Saccharomyces cerevisiae S288C: one gene and its partners. Changing the gene in region 2 together with the main gene of any one other region gives a genetic interaction. Each region holds a gene or a part of one and is shown on either strand. Other genes may lie near its edges.

What was found.
Region 1: mutations in RTS1 (region 2) and PKH3 together harm fitness less than expected from each alone (positive genetic interaction), as found in Saccharomyces cerevisiae (3 studies listed by BioGRID).
Region 3: of RTS1 (region 2) and SGO1, changing one suppresses a phenotype caused by changing the other (phenotypic suppression), as found in Saccharomyces cerevisiae (4 studies listed by BioGRID, with this or other methods).

Annotation. Positions count from the first base shown.
Region 1 is NC_001136.10:1,390,828-1,398,563, reverse strand, and holds PKH3 (protein kinase PKH3), read right to left. Parts: upstream 3,444-7,736; coding exon 747-3,443; downstream 1-746. Other genes in the region: TLG1 (Tlg1p), read left to right, coding at 1-538; RMT2 (protein-arginine N5-methyltransferase), read left to right, coding at 3,990-5,228; SPP41 (Spp41p), read right to left, coding at 5,385-7,736. UniProt on the Saccharomyces cerevisiae protein: Serine/threonine-protein kinase which may phosphorylate the same targets substrates as PKH1 and PKH2, 2 upstream activators of PKC1.
Region 2 is NC_001147.6:353,634-362,419, reverse strand, and holds RTS1 (protein phosphatase 2A regulatory subunit RTS1), read right to left. Parts: upstream 4,747-8,786; coding exon 2,473-4,746; downstream 1-2,472. Other genes in the region: PET127 (Pet127p), read right to left, coding at 1-1,008; ERP4 (Erp4p), read left to right, coding at 1,336-1,959; YOR015W (uncharacterized protein), read right to left, coding at 2,068-2,427; YOR012W (uncharacterized protein), read right to left, coding at 5,464-5,877; YOR011W-A (uncharacterized protein), read right to left, coding at 6,562-6,768; ATP-binding cassette sterol transporter AUS1, read right to left, coding at 8,557-8,786. UniProt on the Saccharomyces cerevisiae protein: The B regulatory subunit might modulate substrate selectivity and catalytic activity, and might also direct the localization of the catalytic enzyme to a particular subcellular compartment. Multicopy suppressor of ROX3 and HSP60.
Region 3 is NC_001147.6:460,471-467,289, reverse strand, and holds SGO1 (Sgo1p), read right to left. Parts: upstream 2,520-6,819; coding exon 747-2,519; downstream 1-746. Other genes in the region: CDC21 (thymidylate synthase), read left to right, coding at 1-615; YOR072W-B (uncharacterized protein), read right to left, coding at 2,660-2,821; YOR072W (uncharacterized protein), read right to left, coding at 5,474-5,788; NRT1 (nicotinamide riboside transporter), read left to right, coding at 6,014-6,819. UniProt on the Saccharomyces cerevisiae protein: Plays a central role in chromosome cohesion during mitosis and meiosis divisions by preventing premature dissociation of cohesin complex from centromeres after prophase, when most of cohesin complex dissociates from chromosomes arms.

The sequences.
Region 1 (7,736 bases), on a different chromosome or scaffold from region 2:
GGATGTTGAGGAAACAATAGTTGATTTGGACAGAAGCATAATCGTAATGAAAAGGGATGAAAACGAAGACGTGAGTGGTAGGGAAGCACAAGTTAAAAATATAAAACAGCAACTTGATGCTCTGAAGTTGCGTTTTGATCGAAGAATACAGGAATCTACTCAAACAACTATTCCTCTAGAAGAGACGGTGGAAAATTCAACACTTAACACCAGCATGGCTGAGAACAATGATGGTGGTATGTCCAATCCGTTTCAGGAACAAATGTTAAGAGAACAAGATGTTCATTTAGATGGTATTCACAAGACAATGCAAAATTTGCATATTCAAGCTCAAACAATGGGGGATGAATTAGAGAACCAGGGACAATTGTTGGATAATATGGACGAGGGTATGGACGGTGTTGTAAATAAGCTGGCTAGAGGTCGTAGGCAATTGGAATGGGTCTACGAAAAAAATAAAGAAAAATACGACGATTGTTGTATAGGACTTCTTATTGTCGTCTTGATAGTTTTATTAGTTTTGGCATTCATTGCTTGAAAAATACAATGCACTAATGCCGAAGAGCTTCAATCGAAGATATACTGGGCATATATAAAATACATGCATTCTGAATACATAAGTGATACGGATATTAATGCTACAAGGGTTTGGATATGATTTATATGTTGGTTTTTCTGGATCGTCAACAACTCGTGCATATTTTTTTGTTTCGAAGTAGAGGAACCACAAATATTATTAAAGCGTGTTATTTTTTTTTCTTACTCTTCTGTAAACTTCTAAATGCTGCTGAGGCACCCCTACTAGCAATTTCCCTATCAAAGTTTGTTTGGCTGTTATTAAGGGTATGTAAGACCTCGTATCTGCTGCTACTGATCACCATGTTAGAAGGAGCAGAATACTTTTCTCTCGTAGTTGGGAATTCCATTTGCGGAAGTGGAGGTGAAGGTGTTGGCTGTCGATATCCTGTTGTTTTGATTTGAGGCTTGGTCGTAGAAGATGAAGGAGAAAATACGGATGATCCCTGCTTCTTCGAAGTTAAAATATTATGCTTATTGTTCCCTACATTAGTAGAAGGCCTATGATTAAAAGCTGGGACCGAACCGTTGGTATATGTATTGGTAGAAGGTGCACTATTTGGTAATCTTCCATTCATTTTTTTCGGAGTTTCACCAGCGTTATTGCTTGACAAAACCCTAGGATGTCTTGAAGAAGGAGTGGAATTTGCACCGGGCCTATCCTTGGTACTACTAGGTATGCGAAAAGGTTTTTCTTCTCCAACATTATCGTTTTGTGGTGCATTGTTCTGGCTTCCATTTTTTGCAGTATAGCTGAGTGTTGTTACATTATTTCCTATACTCAGAGGCCGCTCTTTTCTTGAAATAGGCGGAGGTGATGATGGTTCACTCGATGCCTTACTATCAAAGGAAACGTTACTGATTTTATCAAGAATTTGCTTTTCTTCTAGTAGTTGTCTTGCTCTGAAAAAGCAATCGACCCAATTTTCATTGTTATTTATTGTCGAAGACTTCACGGCATTGAATGGTATTTTGGATAACGTTGAATATGAAGGTAGCGAGATAAACCATATTCTATTCTTATATTTTTCCAGGATTAAAAAACCCTTCCTTGTCAACTCATTGAATTCAAAATCGTACATGGACAAGTCTGTATCTTCTATATTAGCCATCTGGTGTTCTTTGTTTTCTTGATCATCATTTCCCTCCATAACTGTGTTTTTGTAACTTAACATTCCGCTCTTCTTCAAAGTCAATACCTGTAAAAACGACTCTGAGTTTTTTAATTCTTCTTTATGCTGCGCAACTAGTGACGTAATTAAATCATTATCGATCTTATTGTAGCTGTTCAAAGACATAGCAGGCCCTTCGTGTTCATATGGAATGCCATAAATGAAGACGTAGTCTTGTTTTAAAACATGAATATCAATTGAGTTTCTTCCATCTAAAGTGTGTGTTAAGTCCTGGTTCCTTATCTCTGTTGACGGCGCCGATAGAGCTGACGATGCTGACGATGTTGACAACTTTTGTGGTATTGATGATGTTTGCAAAGGTGGCACATTAGGCTTTGTGCGCGGAATTGACTTATTTCTCACGTTGTCATTAATTACCGGTACTTTGGGAGGTATTCTATTTGGTGCAACTAGTTGTGCTCGCTTGACTTGATTGGATTGTGAATTAGGCGGTAAGGCAATATTTGCAGTAGAATGTGCCGCCGTATTTGTTAATACATTGGTATCATTAGGGGCGGTCACTGCAGGCGTAGTGGACGGTACGGTGCCTAAATCATCCTTACCTGTTGATATACCAAGCCTTTTTCTCCATACTACTATGCTACTAGTAGTGTTGGAAATTTTCGTTGGTTTCTTACGTTTTTGTTTTGTGATTTGTATACTTCGTGCTGGAGTGTCAATTACATGTAATTGTCTGGTGGGTAGTATATTCTGCGGTATATTTGGGAGTCCCAAAGTAGTTTGTTGCAGCGATTGTCCTTGTGATTGCCAGATTCCTCTCCATATTTTGATTTTATCATTCCAATCTACTTTTGAAAAATATGGGTGTCTTTTTATCTGTTCGAGAGAGATTCTCTCATTGACCTCTATCACCAATATTTTTTGTACTAAGTTTATTACAAGGGGATTTATTGGTGATGTGCTATTATTGATGCGGTTATTGGGTCCCCATGGATAATCTAATGCTACGATTTTTTCAAATGTCTTCAGCTCATTCTCCCCTCTAAACGGCGGTTGTCCTTGGACAAACTGATATATCATGCAACCTAGTGCCCATATATCTGAGCCATAACCGCATTGGTTGTATAAAAGCAGCTCTGGAGAGACATATTCGGCAGTACCAACAAAGGAAGCGCAATTTTGGTTGTCTTTTGAGCCGTTGCTGTCAGAGTTAAACTTGGCCGAATCTCCGCTTAAACTAGGGTCTATGGTGGCAGCGGCCCCAAAATCAGTAATCATAAGTCTACCATCCCTGTCTAAAAGGACGTTTTCCGGTTTTAAGTCTCTATGAATGATGCCATGTGAATGGATAAATTCTAATGCATCAATTAACTGTGCAGTGAAATGACGCGTCCATATATCATTGAAAGTACCCATTTTGTGCAATAAGGAAAGTAGTTCTCCACCTGGGGCAAAATCCAAAACAAAATAAAGATTTTCCTCATCGTGAAAAGTATAGTATAGTTTGATTATACCCGCGTGATGCTTTTGTGCCAACAAATTCATGGTATTCTTTTCAATGGTGACATATTTTACCTTAGCTTCTTTGATTATGTGTTTCTTCGAACAAACTTTAATGGCATAAATTTTATTCGGGCTTTTTTTATCTAGAGCTTTAAACACAGTAGAGTAAGAGCCATGGCCCAGTTCCTCTTTAAATATGAAATCGTGCGGAGACCTTTTCCTAGACGTCATATGTCATACCAATGTCCCACACCTACTCTTTAAATTTTCACTCAATTGTTTCAGCCTCTGAATAGATAAGACGTGGAAGAACTGCTTACTTGCTTGGGTTAGGCTTTAGGCACTATTATTCTGTTTCCTCACACTTTCAAATCAATGTACCTCTCTTCTGCTGCCTTCATGAAAACCCCTTCGCTACCAAGAAATCACCGCGCGGGTAAGCATGAAAATTGTTTCGATCCATTGTTACCTCAATATGTGACATTAGCTGCGAGTAAGGAAGTTATATTGTTAACACTTTCAGTATCATCTCTAGTCATCAGTACGTGTGCTTGGGGTTGACCAATGCAGATATTTGTTTAGTGTATATAGGATTCGAAGGATTATAACGATTCTTTTCCTTTTTCGGCGAGAATCGATGGCACCTTTCTTTTTCTAAAATTTTTCAAAGCTCATCTCATCTCATTTTAAGCTAAGCGTAAAGCAAAATGACATTGACAATACCCAGCAGTTGCAACGGCTAGGTGTTTACACCAAGGACTTTTAATATATTCAAGTATGTCAGAATTACATGCTTTGCTTACTTTCCCAGAGAGGCCCATTTCTCAAAGTTACTATGTACCAAAACTGCAGCATTTCTTAAAATCTGGTATACCGGCTACATATACTTTGGAGCAGGTCGCAGCCTTCGAGCATGAGGAAAAGAACAGGAACGGGGATAAGGAATTCAGAGAGAGCACTGACGACAATAAAACCTCAAACACAACGCCGTTACACGTTTTAGCAAGATCGCTACCCTTGGATATCAAGGATGAGGAACTGCAAGTGGTGATGGATATGATGAATATTCTTTTTGAGTATGGGGCTGGATGGAATTTTATTGACTACGAGGACAAAACAGTGGGTGATTTGTTTTTAGAGAGAAATCAAAGTAGGGAGAGCCCTCTTTATAGACGGCTCGTGGAAGCTGGTGTGTCTGCTGAATTATTACTGAGAAAACTCAATGGTGGCGACGTCGAATTCTTGGATACAGATGAACTAATAGGTATCGAGCCTGAGGAAAGCGTTCAAACAGCAGTTGATGGTCAAAAAGAAGAATCAGTTGGTAGTGATGACGATGCTACCGCGGCAAATCAACAAGTGTACTTAAAAACAGAACTAGAGTACAAAGACGATGCGCTTATCACAAAGGAAAATAAGGACGGTGTTATGATGGATTGGGAAACCAAGATTATGGAACTTGCTTCCGAAACCTTATTTCCTGATCCAGAGGCCACTAATTCTGCTACGATCTTAAACATTGGATTTGGAATGGGGATCATCGATACATTCATCCAAGCTCGAAAACCATATCGTCACTATATTTGCGAAGCTCATCCAGATGTTTTGGCCAAGATGAAAATGGATGGTTGGTATGAAAAGGATAATGTGGTTATTTTAGAGGGAAGATGGCAAGATACGTTGAATAATTTATTAGACAAAGGTGAAGTTTTCTTTGATGGTATTTATTATGATACATTTAGCGAGCACTACCAAGACATATTGGACTTATACGATGTCGTGGTAGGTTTAATTAAACCAGAAGGCGTTTTCTCATTTTTCAACGGATTAGGCGCTGACAGATCGTTGTGTTACGATGTATATAAAGAAATTGTTGAGATCGATGTTGCTACATATGGTATGAAATGCGATTACACCAGATATTCTCTTGACGAGCAATTGCCAGATTGGAATGATGTTAAGCGGTCTTACTTTAACTGTAACTATTATTACCATCCACGTATCACGTTTGCTTAATTATAGAATAATGTAAATTGCACAATGGCAGGGGCCGATTTCCAATACTAATATTAGTTTCGAAAATCGGAAGAAAAAACTATATACATTTGCTACTTTAAGTATATATGATTATGCAGAAATGGACATATGAACTAAATTATGTCTAGTAACACCTCAGTGTAAAATGCTTTTCTTTCTCTTCTTCTTTGGTTGTAAAGAGGCTAACTTCTCCTCCCTGAACGACTCTTGAATATCTTTTTCAATACAGCGTGCTTTGTTAAGGTTATTCATGTTTACCGCAAGAATATTCAAAATCTCCTTGTCGTCAATCACAATCTTCGTGTTGTTTGCTTGCGTCTCAGTAGTTTCAAGGCGATCCTTGTACTTTTCTTGACTTACCTTTTCTTGAAATCTTTCTTCGATCCATTTAGACTTCGTTTCTGATTCTCCTTCCCCAAAAAATGCGTTCGCACGCTTTTTTAATCTAGACTTTACGTCATATTCCCAGTTCTTGGTGGAGTTCATCTCTCTCCATCTCCGTTTCCTCACATTGTTAATCTCCTTCTTTAGACAACTCAACTCCGCCTCGGTCAATCTAGCCTTGGCAAATTTTAGGACTACACTACGCTTACTTTGTACCTCTTCTGGAGATGGTATATCGAATGTGTAAGTAATGGATTCGCTGTTTGCCTTTCCATCGGCTTCCGGTGCGGTAGTGGCGTCAGCAGAAAGCTTTTTAATGCGGCGGACACGTTTAGCTTTGGTAATACATCTACCCGATGGAGGCACTAGTCCATCCAAATTCAAAACCTGTCTTGGTGTTTTTTTCAGGTATTTTACGTTTTCATCTTCATACTGGTAGTTTTTAACATCAGTGGCTGTGATTTCGGGCAGAATATTAGTGATAGTAGAGGAAAGAATGTCGGTGATATTACTTCCCAAATCAACGGATTCATTCTTTATTTCGGGTATTTTGGTATTTACCAAATTTTGAACTAAATTAATAACGCTAACTTCAGGCTTAATTTGCGGTCTTTTTAAGGGAAATATGATGGGAATTTTTGGTTTTGCTTCATTTAACGGTTTGAGAGAAACATCAATTAATTTGGGCTTTCCTGTTGTCGTGTTTACACTGTCTGGTTCATTACCCGTAAGTTGGGCTGCATCAGAATGCAATGTAGACTTTTCATCTCCATCTTTCTTATCAGACAGGCTCGCATCTTCATTCAAATCTGTAGCAATTTTCTCACCTGGCTTCTTTTTATCCGTTTTTTCGACAGGAGATTCAATTAATATCCTCTTTTCATTTTTTGGATCCCCATTTGTCTTGTCTTCAGTTAGAGTAACTTCCTCAGAAGCCTTGGTACCGACATTCTCCTTAATTTCTTGTACGCTTTGGGTTTCTTTCGCTGTTTCAACATTATTTTCCACAGGTTCTACGCTCTCTGCCCTCTTCGTAAGTTCTAGTTTATCTTGTGATGGTTCTATAGTTGAAACCGCTATACTAACAGGAGGAACATTCGCATCGCTGTCTTCTATTTTAATTGGCGTAGTAACGCCCTTTAAAGTATGCCCAGCGATTGTAGAATTAGAGTGGGGATCGGGCGTGGCTTTATCAGGGGATTCAGAGCTGCTGATTTCTGTTCCTGCACTTCTGGCCGGTAATTGTTTGTCTAATTGTTGTTTCACTCGAGATGTATTGAAAATAGGAATCATTTTCAGCGGATTCTTCATTCGAGACGCAGTTGTTGCCAGTTCTGTGGTAGTTCCCTTAGAATGAGCGGCTTGCATACTGTTTTTCCTTGCTTGTAAAGCTGCCCTAATAACTGTAGACTTGGCATGTTGAATAATGGTTGCCAGCCGTTTCCTTGCCTCCTCAGGTGTGGCGCCAGCAGCTGTTTGCGATTTTGCAGCAGCTTTTAATGTATTTATTATCGGTAGTAATATGGCCGGTAAAATTCTGTTCCTAGTACTTGCCGTACCTTCTTTGGAGACACGAAAAGAATTATTGGTTCTCTTTCTATACTTTTTGATATTTGGTATTTTCTTTCTTCTAGCTACGGGTAGTGCAAATGGTGGTTGAGACGGTATAGTCCATGGGGGATGGAAAGGAATTTTTTCTTTATGCACTACAGTTTTTAGGTGTGCATCGTAATTTTGAGATGCAGATGAATCTGATAGGGGCCATTCGTGATCTTCACTCTTTGGTCTCGAAAGAATCCTGCGGACACCGTCAGGCGATTTATGTAATCCAATAGTGGATAGCGAACCTTCAATGTCATTCAGACGATGTCTTGCACTTGGCTGAACATTACCCTTTACAAAGTTGAAGAGAGGAATTTTCTTCAAAGCAGATGAAGGTACCTTCATTTTCTTTTCCTTTTTCTTTCTTTCCTTTTTCACCTTCCTCGGTTTTTCAGCTTCCTGTGATCGTTTCAGTAGCTCTTCCGGAGTCCATCTTCTGTATGGTTTTTTTGGTTTACCGCTTTTAGTTAGTCTTAAATCTGGGGGATAAGGTGGACCTCG
Region 2 (8,786 bases):
AATCTCCCTATCCAGACTTCTATCTGAATCAATAGAACAAATGCCATTTCTCTTCTTTCTCAGAATGACTGCTGACGGAAAATATGCACTTTCTGAATAATTGCAGTTTTTTTGAGGAAAATTTTTCGATATCGAGGAATCAATGATATTCAATCTTCTGAAATTGGATAATAAATAGTGCAACTGAGAAAGTACTGATGTCATGGAACTTGATGAAGATATGTACTTTTTTCTATGTTCTTTGGCAACCTTTAACAGAGATTCATCTTTGTGGGGTGTGATGAATATTGGCTTGCTTTGTCCTTCTCCAGAGGAGTCTGTGTTCACATCTTTTTCACTTTTCTTTTCCAAATACTCTGGATTAATATTTTCCACTGCAGGGTCAAAATTATACATTCTGCTCCTATTATCTCTCAATTTTTGTAGCGACAACGGTTGGTATAACACTCTCGTTAATCCATGACCAATCCTAGGAGGCTTTTGGTTGTGTTTTTGAACACCATCTTGATTGTAACGTACTAATGCGTGCCTAATCTTCTGGACATTTATCCGAAAAGTGTATGAATTGCTATCTGAATATGTTCTGCTAGCGGGATATGTTCTCCTAGCGGGATATGTTCTCCTACCAGGATATGTTCTTCTACCAGGATACGTTCCTACCTTTGTCCGCTCCAAATACTTATCATGTCTATACTCCTTCTTTATATTTGTTTTCAGTAGATTAATCGCCTTGTCCATTTCTTCCGTATATTTTTGTCGACCTCCCTTTTCCTTGTTTCCAATGTCCTCTACAGTCGAATTTGTGTCATATATTTCATCGACCATCTCTAAAGCACTATGCAGGTCAGAACGTAGCTTGTCTGGTGTTTCTCTTCCACTAGGGGCATTTGTGAGAGCAGCGCCAAAGTGATAAATCGATCGCTGTTGATAGCTTTTAGCGGCGCTACCTATTCTGCAAGGCTCAACAGATAGACGTCTGGACAGGAATCTACAGTTGTAGAACCCCATTATCAAAACTATAAAAGTATCAGGTAGCGTTTGGCTCTTTTTTGTGCTCTCTCAAGTGCCCTGTTTATATTATATTTTTACATATTTGTTTCTTTATTAACCAACGGCATTGACGGAAACGCGCTTTATTATGGACTACTTTTTTTTCACTGTTTCCTGTTTTTTGACGTGATATACTCAAAGATGAGCGATTGACGATCTGAGAATTCTATTTGGGAACTCTTCTCTGCTTTGAAGACATTTATTTCCCAGCTGCCTTTGAAGTAGTTTCACGAGCGCTAGTGAAGTTTTTTCATAAATATATATTCCCAATCATCGCTAGGAATTATGCGCGTTTTTACTTTGATTGCGATTTTGTTTAGTTCATCTTTGTTAACACATGCATTCTCCTCTAATTATGCTCCTGTAGGCATATCATTACCTGCTTTTACCAAAGAATGTCTTTACTATGATTTATCCTCTGATAAAGATGTCCTTGTGGTCAGTTACCAAGTTTTGACAGGTGGGAATTTCGAGATAGACTTCGATATTACCGCCCCTGATGGCTCTGTTATCGTCACTGAAAGACAAAAGAAGCATTCTGATTTTCTACTGAAGTCGTTTGGTATAGGTAAGTACACTTTCTGTTTGAGTAATAACTACGGCACTTCCCCAAAGAAAGTTGAAATCACCCTCGAAAAGGAAAAGGAAATTGTTTCTTCCCATGAAAGCAAAGAGGACATAATCGCAAACAACGCCATCGAGGAAATTGATAGGAACCTGAATAAGATCACCAAAACAATGGATTATTTAAGGGCTAGAGAATGGAGAAACATGTATACTGTGAGTTCTACTGAGTCAAGATTAACATGGCTCTCATTACTAATTATGGGGGTAATGGTTGGTATCAGTATAGTGCAGGCATTAATTATTCAGTTCTTTTTTACCAGTCGCCAAAAAAACTACGTATAGGTTGCTTTTCAAGCTCTTAAAATTGTTGGATCAGCTGTGCTAAGGGGAAGGCACTTTTTTGTATCATGATCCTATTTTTTTTGTTATTTAATTATTTATGACATACCTTTATACTTTAGTTTTCAAAAATCCAATAATAGATAGGCAAGGTTTACGGAAAAGAGTGGAGTGCAAAATAAATAGAGGAAAGGCAGAAGGAAGAAGGAAAGCGAAAAGAAAAACGAAGATATATTTGGAGAAAAGTATAGAAATAATAAAATGAAGACACATCGATTGAAGTATGCTCAAATGATGAGAAAAAGAGACCTTTATCTCAGGCCACAAACAACCATTGTCCAAGTGGCTTATCTTTGCTATAGTTTTGTTCGAATATTCGGGGATTCTATCTTTGGTTTCTTCAACAAGTTGACCCCATTTACCAGTTCTTTTTTGCTCTTCATATACTGCTGCTCTTTTGAAATGTGGCATGCCCTAAACTTCCTCACTTCTTCGAGCTTGTAATGAATTGCTGTTTCACTGTATCTCGCTGTCACAATCATTTTCGTTCTCTTCATTTAATGTGTTATTCTCACTTGCTGTGTTGAAACTGTTTCTTAATTCTGGGTTTTTGATTGTGTATTGGTCCTTATCATTGTTAATCCTTAGATTTTTTACATATTCTTCAAGTTTGCTCCAATTTTCTTCACGTTGCACCTTACGCTGTTGAGTTTCTTTTACACTTGATAAGTACAATGCATTACAGTTTTCGTACAATACTGGGTTTGTTTCCAGAAAAATTTTCAATGCCTTGAATGCCATAGCATGAATTGCCCTATTCCACGAACCAGAATTGATTGCTTGCTCAACAAGCATGTAAGGGTCTGAAATGCTATCTTCGCCATTTGCTGTATCTAGCTCTAACTGAGAAGTTAATTCATATAATGCAGGAAATATAATGGGTAGGATGACTTCGGCATTTTCGATACATAAGTTTAAGAAATATTCATTATTCCAATAACTTAAAACCTTTTCCGCCACTTGGAAATGTGGAGAAGAAATACACTTAGCTAATTGAACAAATAACGGAACTTCTACTTTAATAAATTCCAGCGGTTCGATCACTTCAAAAATATCCTCGATTTCATTTAGAAACATTATCTCTTTTGTGGAATTTATTTTTGGCCAATAACGCAGTAAGCCCATAACTACCTCTTCGGTTAATAAAGGATCTTTTTCGAGAAATTGAACGATACAGTAAGCCAACTGAGGGTGGTATAATGATAAACAACGGACCTTGTGTAATGGTATCAATATCCTCACCAAGAAAACCTTGTGCTCTTCCTTTAATGGAAGTGCAAATCCATTAATTATGGAACCCAAAATTTCTAACAATTCTGCCACACCGTTAAACTTCTCAGTCTCATAAATAAATTGCAAAAAAATATTATTCATCGACCGACGAATAAAGCTTCTTAATGATAAGAACTTCCCATATATTCTATGCAGTGTCGTTTTCAAACAGTCTCTTTCTCTGATATCTTCGCTATCAAATAATTCCAGTAACTTTAAAATAAAGTCCTGATCAATATATTGTTTAGCAATCTGATGATTGAAATCAGGACTTTCCACAAACCTTAAAAAGAATTCGTAAACAGCTTGCATATGAGGCCAGGCTAGTTCGTTAACAGGTTCATCTTCATCTGGGTCATAAATGTCACCAACTGGATTTACTGGTGGTGGAATAGGTCTAAACAGATTGATTTTGAACATGTTCACCACATGAGCGTACATCTCATTCGTGTAAGTGAACCTATTTGTTACAAGGAATTCTATTAGCTCATCTAAGGTGCTTCTTTTAATCTCTTTACCTTGAATGTCAAAACTTGGATCATTAAAGTCAAACATAGTGTTACACTGGTCAACTTTGGCAATGAACAAAGGGATTCTTTCTTCAGGAGAAACTTCATTAAAATTTGGCAATTTCGTTAATGGCGTATATCTAGATGGCTCGAATCTAGATGAAGAATGACGTTGGGGAGTCTTAATTAACTCTAAATCTGTGTCAGGGTTAAGTTTTGTGGGTGTTGGTAGTCTCTCAAATGAGTGTGATGATCTCGGAATGTCGATACTTTGTGAGGAGGCGTGGTTTGCATCCTGAGTATTACTAGTATTAATATTCATATTGTTATTATTACTATTACCATTTTCTACATCAGAAGAAACTGCTGTACCTGAAGCATTTGAAATGGGAGATGATGGAACAGCGGATACTGCCCCCAGCAAAGTAGGATGTGCATGATCTTCACCAGAAGTGCTTTTGTCGTCCTTAGTAACAGTGAGTACTGGAGTGGGGTTCATTATAGCGGCAGATGATGAAGAAGATCCTTGCTTTTGAGATTGTGATGGCTGTTGCGATTGTTTGGACTGTTCTTGTCCTTTTCTTGAACTTGTTTTCTTTGTGGAGCTTGAACCGGAGCGACTGACACTTGAACTTCTACTGCTACTGCTGCTGGAAGAAGGGGTCGTCGCTGTTTTTGTTTTTGATGTAGAGCTACTATGATGCTTCCCTTGCGAGGGAACACTACCAGATTGCTTGCCCTTCTCAGTTGTAGACTTTGATCCGGTACTGCTGGCAGAACTGTGAGTAGTCCCGTGGGAAGAGCTACTAGCCGAAGCGGGCTTCTTTGATGTGGATGAGGTAGTGGAACTTTTTTCTTTTTCCTTCTCTTTGTCCTTCTTTTTACTGCTTGAAGAAGAAGAAGACCCGGTGGTCTTCTTTATTAATCTTTGCTTGAAACCACGCATCATATTGAAAGTGGATGTTCGAAAATAGCACGTGCCTATTGATCTTAATAAGTAGAACTTTTATACAAAATAAAAAAGCCAGTTAAAGACGGTATTGAGGTGAACAGGTATATGGAGAAGGGTTTATATTTTTATCTAACAAAAAAAGGAAAAAAAAGCAAAATCGAGGGGGGAAGGAAATGAAACCCAAAATACTTACGGCGACGATGGTTTATCCTTGAAATGAAGAGTTTTCCAATGAAGAAACGAGACGTATTGACATGCCTACCAATTGAAGTGGAAAACAAAGCGTAGTTTCACATACTCTTTGATAATCAATTGTCTGATACTTTTTTTTTTCCTTTCTCGCAGCCGGGATAGGGGGTTGTGACCCGGCAAAAAATGTTGGTCTAAGTTTTATTGTTGCTATATGCTCCATACATACAATAAATGTCTATAAAATTTTTAGAAGAAAATCAGGCGTGAAAGATGGTGTCTGCATCTTTGTGGTAGAGCATCAAGTAGGCCGTGAATCCCTTCCCCTGCGGATCGGGTTCTCCTTTGGAGTTCACTTCTCCAACCCCGAACTGAAACACCAAATAGGTTTTGAAACCGAAATATTCGTACACAGATCTTGCGTGCTCCGAAATAGCCTCGAGAGCAAGGGCGCAATTGGCCTTGTCTGCTTTGGTTTTATATTTTTCGAGTATTTTTCTGACTGAACCTCTAATTTCGGGATGGCTAGGATCTTTTCCGATGGCATAAAGGTAGTAATAGTCCATTCCCAGAGGCATGACTTCGTGCTTCCTCACAGTCAAGTCGTGAAAAAAAAATCTTATTGAAAGACTCGTCGTCAGATAGTGTAGCAGGCAAGTGGCACCCAGGGCGGCTCCATATTGCGACTGCATCGAAATCATTTGCCTCAGCAATTTCACCATCCAAGTCATGGTAGCACGTCGTGTAGTAATGTATCATTGCATTTATTCTTGCCCTTGAAACTTTTTCAGTGATTGGGATATGGAAGAACTTTTTCATCAAGTAGTCATTTGCGTATGACTTTTCGAATGCCTTAAACAAAGTTTTCGAAGCCTTCTCTACATCGCTTGTCAAGTTTACCGCCAAAGAGGATTCTTCATTGATCGATGATGCTACCATTATCAAAACTATTGATTTGTTTTCAACGTTCTGATTAGTATTTTTGTCACTGCCTTTTTCTATTGTTTCTTTTTTTGCATTTCTTATAGTAACATAAAAAACACAGGAAAAAAAACGTCGTTTATTATATCAGGAGTAAAGGATTTCTGCCCAAAATGTCAGGAAAATTACGATATAAAACGTACTATAAGATAACAAGCGGCTGAATAATTTCTGAGGTCAGAACCATAAGGGTACTGAAATACTATGTGCTAGATTTTTTATTTATTTTCTTTTTCTGATTGATTATCGTTTGGTTAAAATCAGTATGATATTATATATGACTTGCTTTATAATATATCAAACCGACATAAAAAATTATCCTACTCAAAAAAGATCATGGTTGTCCCCGCGTTTCACTTCTGTTATACCATGCAAATTTTTATATCAAATGAGTAATTCTTTCATTTCTTTCGGGACCCTTTACGAAGTAGTTGTTATATCTCCACTGGCAAGGCCACGAACTGACAAAAAAGGCATGATATAAATTGTGAGAAATTGTGAGTTAATTTAATAATTATGCGACGAGATGATAGAAAGGTAAAGACGACTTTTTGAGCCGGATCTGTTTACGTCAGTAAATTCTCGCGCCCCAAGACGTTATGAGGCATAAAATTTATTGCGTTCAGTTTTCTAAAGAGCTCACTATCGGTGATAGAAATCTTTCTTTTTTATTATCTTCTTGTCAGTAGTAATGTATAAGCACCAATATTGAAATGTCCAATTTTTTCGGCTCTTCCCAAGAACTTCAAGAGAGCAGTAGTATGGAAGAAAGTATTGTGAATGATACACAAAACGGTTTAAATACTCCAATATTTCAAAATGAAAGAAATTGAAAACCGATTTTGCCATTAATAATGATTGCTTATTATCCTTTAGTGAAGAAGTTTGTATTGAACTTCAAAGCTGATTGAAAAATCATTATATTTGAACACGTCGTGAGAAGACATGTGTCCAAGTGCATAGTTATTTAAGGCTTCTACGCTGCTTTGTCCTTTTATTACACATTATAATGAGTCTTCAAGATATTTGACTCAGTATGTATAAGAGAATGCTTCCATTGAGATAGTAAGATGATACGTATTGTTACAATACTTGATAATAAGATGCGTTAAAATATTAGTTAAAATGTTAGCTAAAGTTGTACAATTATTCAAGTCGGTGGAACAATAACACTCATTTTATATTTAATTTGTAGGCTGGTTAAATTTAATAACACTTCTTAGGGCTCTATTTTTATGAACAGGACATCATATTATGTAGGCAATAACTTCCGAACTTCGTAATTGATTTAATTGATAATACGACCTATCGTGAATATGCTAAAAGTTCTTTTCGAGGATATAGAGATTCTCGAAGAGAGAGAGATATTCTAAATAACAATATACATATATATATATATATATATATATATATATATTCCTTTCTTGCTTCTTTTTTGTACATTATGTAACTATATTTCTTTCTCATTCCAAATATTCAAATGTACAGGTATTTAATACCGCCTCAATTGATTTAGCGGTATTTTATTTTCTAACAGCTTAGTTATAATACTAAATATACAAAATATATTAGAAGCTCTTTCTCAAGGATATAGGAACCTGCCAAGGAAACCCATATTTCCACATAATGTTACTATTATTATTTCTTCTATTTTTTATGTTGTCATTCATTATCCTATTACATTATTAAATCTTGCATTTCAGCTTCCATTAAATCAGATGACTGTTTTCAATCCTTTTTTATCTTTCTACTCCGTCTACCACAATATAATAGCTTATGAATACTCGCCGGTAGATTATAGTCGATTCTTATTCCAATAGTTTGTTCCTCCAATGACGTTATAACTAATCATAAAGCAATATAGCTAAATTAGGTACCTAATCTTAAAAGATTTTCAGATTTAAACTAATCCTTGTTGCCTATCTTAATTTGAATATTTCTGTATTCTCGCTTAAAAAACATGATGCTGATTATATCTGTTAGTTCAGGTATTCTTTTTACTCCTATATTCTTCTCAGTCATGACGAAGTGTATGTTGTTTTACGGGTACGAGTAATACCGGGGTGTCTTGAAAATCCCAATATAAACAGTCAATGGAAGTAACCAGTTGTCAGAACGGATTATCAGCTTTTCATGGGATGTTACTTATCCTATATATTATATAAAATATGGATCATATTAATTGGTGGAAGCGCCGAACCTCGGATCTAAATTAATTGCTCAGGCGTCTATACGTTTGGGTGGTTAAGCTAAGGGAGGCGAAGTTATATGTCATGTTGCTCATTCTGTTCGTTTTGTTATAAGGTTGTTTCATATGAACGTTTTAGGATGATGTATTGTCATACTGACGTGTACCACTCTGAGAAACAACAAAATAACGGTTTACTGCTTCTATGGCCAAGTTGGTAAGGCGCCACACTAGTAATGTGGAGATCATCGGTTCAAATCCGATTGGAAGCATTTTTTGTCGTGCACTTTTGCTATATAAATATTTTTTGAGCGTCAGCGACAAGTATCTTTTTTTTTGTTGTACAAAGGACTCTTTCAATTGTTTAGTCAGTCATTGGTGACTTGTAAATAATTAGATTAATTAAAATTGCTATTAAGTAGAAAGTAGAAATATATTTAAAAATGGTATTAGTTCTGTACAGGCTTCTTCCCTCTGTGTGGAATTACTTTGGTGATAATTTTAAAGACCTTTGGCCATATTCTTGCCACGTAAGTTAAGTAGTAACCAGCAAACATCGCAAAGAAATTGAAACCAACAAAAGCCCATTCAATACCAAAGTTCCTCCAAACGTGGTCGTAACTCATATTCTCATTTTTCAGGAAGTCATCGCCAACAGTGTACGTACAATAAGCGCAGA
Region 3 (6,819 bases), 110 kb from region 2:
GATAAGATGGGGTTCAAAGATAGGAAAGTAGGAGATCTGGGGCCCGTTTACGGATTTCAATGGAGGCATTTTGGTGCTAAATACAAGACGTGCGATGACGACTATACTGGACAAGGTATTGATCAATTGAAACAGGTTATACATAAACTAAAGACAAATCCCTACGATAGAAGAATCATTATGAGTGCCTGGAACCCAGCTGATTTTGACAAAATGGCTTTGCCGCCATGCCATATTTTTTCACAGTTCTATGTCAGTTTCCCCAAAGAAGGAGAAGGATCCGGTAAGCCCCGCCTTTCATGCTTATTGTACCAACGTTCTTGTGATATGGGGTTGGGAGTACCATTTAACATTGCATCATATGCTTTGTTGACTAGAATGATTGCTAAAGTTGTCGACATGGAGCCAGGTGAGTTCATTCATACTTTGGGGGATGCACATGTTTATAAAGACCACATTGATGCCTTGAAAGAACAAATCACCAGAAATCCAAGACCATTCCCGAAACTAAAGATTAAAAGGGACGTTAAAGACATTGATGATTTCAAGTTGACAGACTTTGAAATTGAAGATTATAATCCTCATCCAAGAATTCAAATGAAAATGAGTGTATAATTGACAGCACGAGGAGAAACAAAATCATGTACTTACGTATATACACACAAAATCGAATGTATATAATACAATGGTTTATTATGCAAAAATATAGAAATTATTAAGGAACACCAGGGCAAAAAGACTATATATCATTTTTTGGTGCGATATGTTTTTGGTTGATGTTTCACTGCCTTACCATTTCCAAATAAATCAAATACTGCTAAATCATCTTCATTTAGTCTAAAGCTAACAGATTTATTATTAACATTATTAATGTTTGAATTGTTATTGTCGAAATTGTTGTAATTGTTGTTATTATTACTGGTTCCCTTTGACGACTTGGAGGGTCGCGTAGTAGAATTTTCATCAGATAAATTATTGACAATTGCATTTTTGAACAATTTTTTAGTTCTTGTTGACTTTTTCTTATTCTCCGATTTATTTGTAATGTCAAGTAAAGGCGACGATTTTTTAGGGCTATTGTTGCTAGTTAGTTTTTTTTCGTTTTTGTTGTTGCTGTTGTTGTTGGAAGTGGTCATTAGATGAGCGGTATCCTCGTGTATTTCATCTTCCGTTTTTTTCCCTTTTGGAGTTCCATAATCCTTTGAGACGACGACTTCTCTCAATTGCGGTTCGTCGGGTATTGAATCTTGGGATAAACTTTTCCTTTTATGTGAAGTTTCCCGATTTCTCTTGGAAACCTGTAGATCATGTATATCAATCACAGTAGTAGCATCCACAAGTTTTTCTGAAGGCCTCCTCATTTTGGCTCTTAAAGAAGGCAAAGTGTAATCTACAGCTTTACCACGAGTTCTTCTAGTTCTCGTAAATGATATTTCGCTGTTGCTGCTCATGTTACTTACGGGCATGACTTCGTCAATAACCTTTTTCTTCAGTTCTATCCTAGGCGGCTTCATGGAATGCTTAATTTTGGTCTTTGGATGAGAATTAGTAGAAGAACTTGATGAAGGATAGACCGTTGAAGCATCGCTAGTGGTAGTAGGTAAAGTTGCGGATGGGCCTGGTAAAGGCAACGGCAAAGGATTTGACGGCACTGTACTTAGCATATTTGTACTGTCATTGAATATTTCTAGTTTAGAAGATGAATGCTCGGGTTCTGTCGGATTCTCCTCTGGTATGGAGTATTCTATAATTGAATTGGTAAAATTACTGACAGAATCGCTATTTTCCTCTTCAGGGTTTAAGGCATCTATTGTTTCCTCCACTTGCGCAGACTCGTGTGATTCTGCCGGTACCTCTACAGAGGAATTTTCCATCATGGGTTCGTTTTCACCGGTTTCGTCTTCAGGTTCTAAACTCGTGGATACAAACATAGATTGCCGCCTAGAACTCTTCCTTTTTTTAGCCTTAGGCTCAAGATCTGGACCATCGTCCTTGTTAAAACTTGATTCATGCGACAGGTTATTCTCGTGATTTGATAACCTAGTGTAACTTTTTGAGTATGTGGGTGATGACAATGAGCATGATCTTGACCTGGAACTCGTTCTCTTCAACATTGTTCTTAAGCTCGAACTGGGCAAATTTTCGTTTTTACGTACGTTCTCAAACATATAAAAAATTTCGTCAAATCTTTGAATAATACCGTTTTCAATGACTTGTAGTTGATTACTTAACCGTTCCCTGTAGATAGCTTCGCTTATAGAGGTTTTAGATCGTAGAGTCACGTTTTCTTGTACCAGCTGGCTTATTTTTTTTTCCAAGCTATTAACTTTAATTTTTAATATGGAGTTATCCTTGGCCAGCAGGGAGTTTTGCCTCGAATACGACTGTCTGATGTTTTCCACTTTTTGCGATTCGAGATCCATTAGGTTTTGAAATTCTTGTATTTGTGGGGTTAAATCATCGTGGGAGACCGTACGCCTGCTGCTTTCCTTGTTAGGAGCAATTTTTCTCTTCGGCATGGTCAAACAATAACCCCTCTATACCCAATTAAACATATATATGCGTGTGTAAGTAATATAACCCTGCGCCTAGCAGTAGTTGTAATGTGGAAATGGCATTATCAATATTAGTAGACGCTCACTTTGTGAAATTTCTTTGTTTACAAAACAAAAGGGCCTTGAAAAAAATAAAAAAAATCTGTTACCCGACCAATAGGAAATAAATAATCAAAAATAAAAGGGGCGAGCTGGGAATTGAACCCAGGGCCTCTCGCATGCTTTGTCTTCCTGTTAGTCAGGAAGTCGCCCAAAGCGAGAATCATACCACTAGACCACACGCCCTTGTTAACTTGTTGTTAAGACTACTTAGTCTTGAGTATCACACTGCATTCAGTAACATATATTCTTTTAATCTTCTGGCTGAGAACTCCAAGAATAATCGCTAAAAATACTCAAGGGTAAGTACCCCAAACAAAGTTCTGTCCTTCTTAGATATTTTAAATGAGGGAAACTAAATCATTAGTTTATTATTTAGATGCATTTTTCCCAGCTTTAACCTTTTTATTTAAAGGAAATTATAAAAAAAATTTTAAAAAAATGAGTTTTGCGTATCCAATAAATAATAGACAAGATGCTGTCACAACAGTATTAAAATTTCTGAAAGATTCTGCTGTCTCTGGACTGTGTAATACAACAATTCTTCGGAAAACTTGATTCGGAATAAACAATGGTCTTTCATTTATGGAAAATTTTCTTCTTTGTCTCGGTCACTAAAAAAAGCCTTAGCAAAGCTATATAGAAAGAAAATAGTGATATGGTGTATTTGCCGTAAAACTATGGTTTATCCAAGGTCGCCTTCAGTAAACTTTCGGAAATATATTCATCGGAGATATATTATATAATGAGTACATAGCAATCTAATCATGCTGGGTCTTCTTGCACCCCAATGAAACCATAATCATGTAAATGCTTGAAAATTCCGGGCATACTATCCTCTTCCTCAATAACCCAATCGAAGTAGAGTGCTAGTTGTGCACTATGTCCTTGCTGCTCATTAAATAAATTTACTGACAGTTTGGTGGAATTTCTTTGTTCGATCAGATAGTACTGTTAGGTATTTGTTGACATTTACTTCCCTATCACATCAGACCACTGTTTCTCCTTCCTTTTTGCCATCTTCTTACCTATTATATGATAATATAGTTCAAAAGGAAATACCAGTCAATGAATGATAATTGGCTCTTACTCCAACCGTTCTTAATCTGGACCAGTAATTGTTCTTATGGTGAAAAAGTATGGTGACGTCTTTACTTTTAAAAATATTTTTAACAGTTGAAGGAGCTCCCCGTGTACATCTTGCCAGATCTTCAAGAGAAATGTCACCAAATAAATTATGAAATTAAAGTACAGCGGTAGTGATAAAAACGATCATCAAGTAGTGCCATCCGATATTTCGTGTCAATTTCCAAGCTCATGATTTATGACATACAGGATTTTCAAGAATATTAAATCTTGTTCCTGAGGAATTTTTGATAAATCCAATAAATAGTAAATAATAAGAAAAAAGACAGAACAACAACGTTTTGGTGGGAGAAAGGCCACTTCTCTGACCAGACTAGAGTACTAATATTTACGACAAATATACTGAGACCGTGACCAATGGTAGAAGGTGATTGGCTTGAAAGAAATGCCAACATTAAAGCACATATCACTGCTCTTGATATCAGTAGAGTTGCAAAAAAATTATACTACTAAAATCAGCTCAACGGCAAGAAGTTACTAAGCACAGCAGAAATTCTGGAGCTAAAGAGAATAATATACATACAAGACTGACTGAAAACTCTGTTTTCCACATGCAGTGGACTCAAAATATTCAGTTGAAGAAGCAAGCACAAAATTGGATCAACCCGTCGCGTCGCGGCCGCTGCTGCAGGCGACAAATCCACTGGCAAATTGTACGCGGCCTCGTTACTCCTACTTGAAAACAGAAGTAACAACAACAAATTCAAGTTTCTACGAAATGGGTCTCATGACGACAAGGTGCGCCCCCCTATCTACCTTGTTGTAAGTCTGGGACCTGGGGCTAATTTCTCATCCCCGGAAACAAAAGTATACAACTACGTGGCTAAAAATTTTTTAGTATGCAGCACATAGGATGCCAAGGAGCAATTTTTAACCCTGGCAATCTGAGCTACTGAACGGCCGCCTCAGGACTCATAGTTCTCTATATATAATTTCTCCATGTTTCTCCTTGTGCCTGGTGGAAAATATCAAGTAGTTGCCGCGACATAAAATGAATGCCTCGTAGACACCGCGAAGCCGGAATGAAGGCGGACACTACGGCACCGCCTCAAACCCAACGGCCGAGAGCGAGTTCATCTCCCTCATAGATGCGAACGGCATTGGCACTGACGCCATCATTGTAGAACATATAGACAAGATTAAAATGCGTAATCACATCATGAATGGGAAGTTAGGTGCGGTCCACTACCCTGGGGGCCTCACTGGGGACGTCATCACCCCCAAAGCACCTCAATAAGTCCATAAATAAATATATAAAAATTACTGAATAATAATAAAAAAAATAAATTAGTTCAGTCTAAAGAAATGGAAGCAAAAACCTCAAAAAAAAAATTTTTTTACGAAGACTATGCTTCCAAGACTGACGTCTTAGAGGCATAGTCGAGAAGAAAAGGAATTACTGGCACAGAACGACAAGAAATATCGTGTCGGCGCCAAGGCATCTATGTAACTACGTCTTGTGATCACCGGTATAGCTGGGACTATTCCGTTTCATCATATGATCTGGCCGTCTGCGCTTGTACATTCTGGGCGCCAGGCGTAAATGACCAGAGTAATGTCTTGCTGTAGTCGTCCGTCGCCACAGAAGCGCGTGGACGCATGATCGCGCGCAGCGACCGGTCGGTTCGCAAGACGGTTGGCAATAGGAGTTTCCTGCTGACCGCCTTATTAATTTATATGAAAGAGGAGAATTTGTCATCGGGCTTTCGAATGAAATAAAACAGCTCCTTTAAGTAATGGAACTGGAAGAAGGAAGAGAATAAACGACAGAATTTTCGTGCTCGGAGCGAACACCGCGCCGGGTTACGAACAACAGTGGCCACTACTATAATAGTTATGGAGTAGACGTCAGAATATATAGCGCAGGCGTCAGAGTATAGCGCGGGCGTCAGGATATAGTGTGCCAATGTAGCGTGGTTGCATGCAGCTAGCTTTTTAGTTGAGTCAGACCTGCTCCAAAAAAAGAGGAACACAACTTTCGTCAGCATGTGTTGCTACCGCTATTTGTTCTTCGGGGAAAAAAATTTGCATTCGCTATTGTAGTTTTAATTTTCCTTCTCTATTCTCATAAATAGAGTTAAAATCTTATAAACTCCAGAATTATCAAGAACAATTACCTATATTATTTCCTATTGCAGAATTTATATTATTCTTTATTGTACTGATATCCCCATTATAACTATCAAAAAAAGGACTTCAGCACCTGTATCATCATGAGCTTCAGTAGTATAGTCTCTAAGTTTTTGAGATATTTAGAAATTCCTGCCAAAAATAGGACTGCCGTGAATTTTCTGAGGAACCCTGATTTGCAACCTATCAAGTCTGCAAATCAAACATGGGGGTTCTGGTCTAATTTGGCGTACTGGGGCGCTGTGTCCTTTACAGCAGGTACATGGATGAGTGGTTCTGCTGCACTAAGTGTCGGCCTAAGTTACCCAGAGACCATTGTTTCGTTTCTTCTCGGTAATGTCTTGACCATTATTTTCACTATGGCCAACTCTTACCCCGGTTATGATTGGAAAATCGGTTTCACCTTGGCCCAAAGATTCGTTTTTGGCATTTACGGTTCAGCCTTCGGTATCATCATTAGAATTTTGATGAGTATTGTCAATTATGGTTCCAACGCTTGGTTGGGTGGTCTATCTATCAACATGATATTAGATTCCTGGTCCCACCACTATCTGCACCTGCCCAATACTTTGTCCCCAAGTGTTGCCATGACCACCAAGCAGTTGGTCGGCTTCATTATTTTCCACGTCCTCACCGCGCTCTGCTATTTCATGAAACCCTACCATATGAACTACCTTTTAATTTGGTCATGTGTAGCTACTTGCTTTGCCATGCTGGGTATAGTGATTTACTTGACTAAGAATGCCCATGGTGTCGGTGAATTGTTTACCTCCACAAAATCTACCGTTACTGGTTCTAAAAGAGCATGGGCTTGGGTTTACATGATTTCATACTGGTTCGGTTCCATTTCTCCAGGTTCCACCAACCAAAGTGACTATTCAAGATTCGG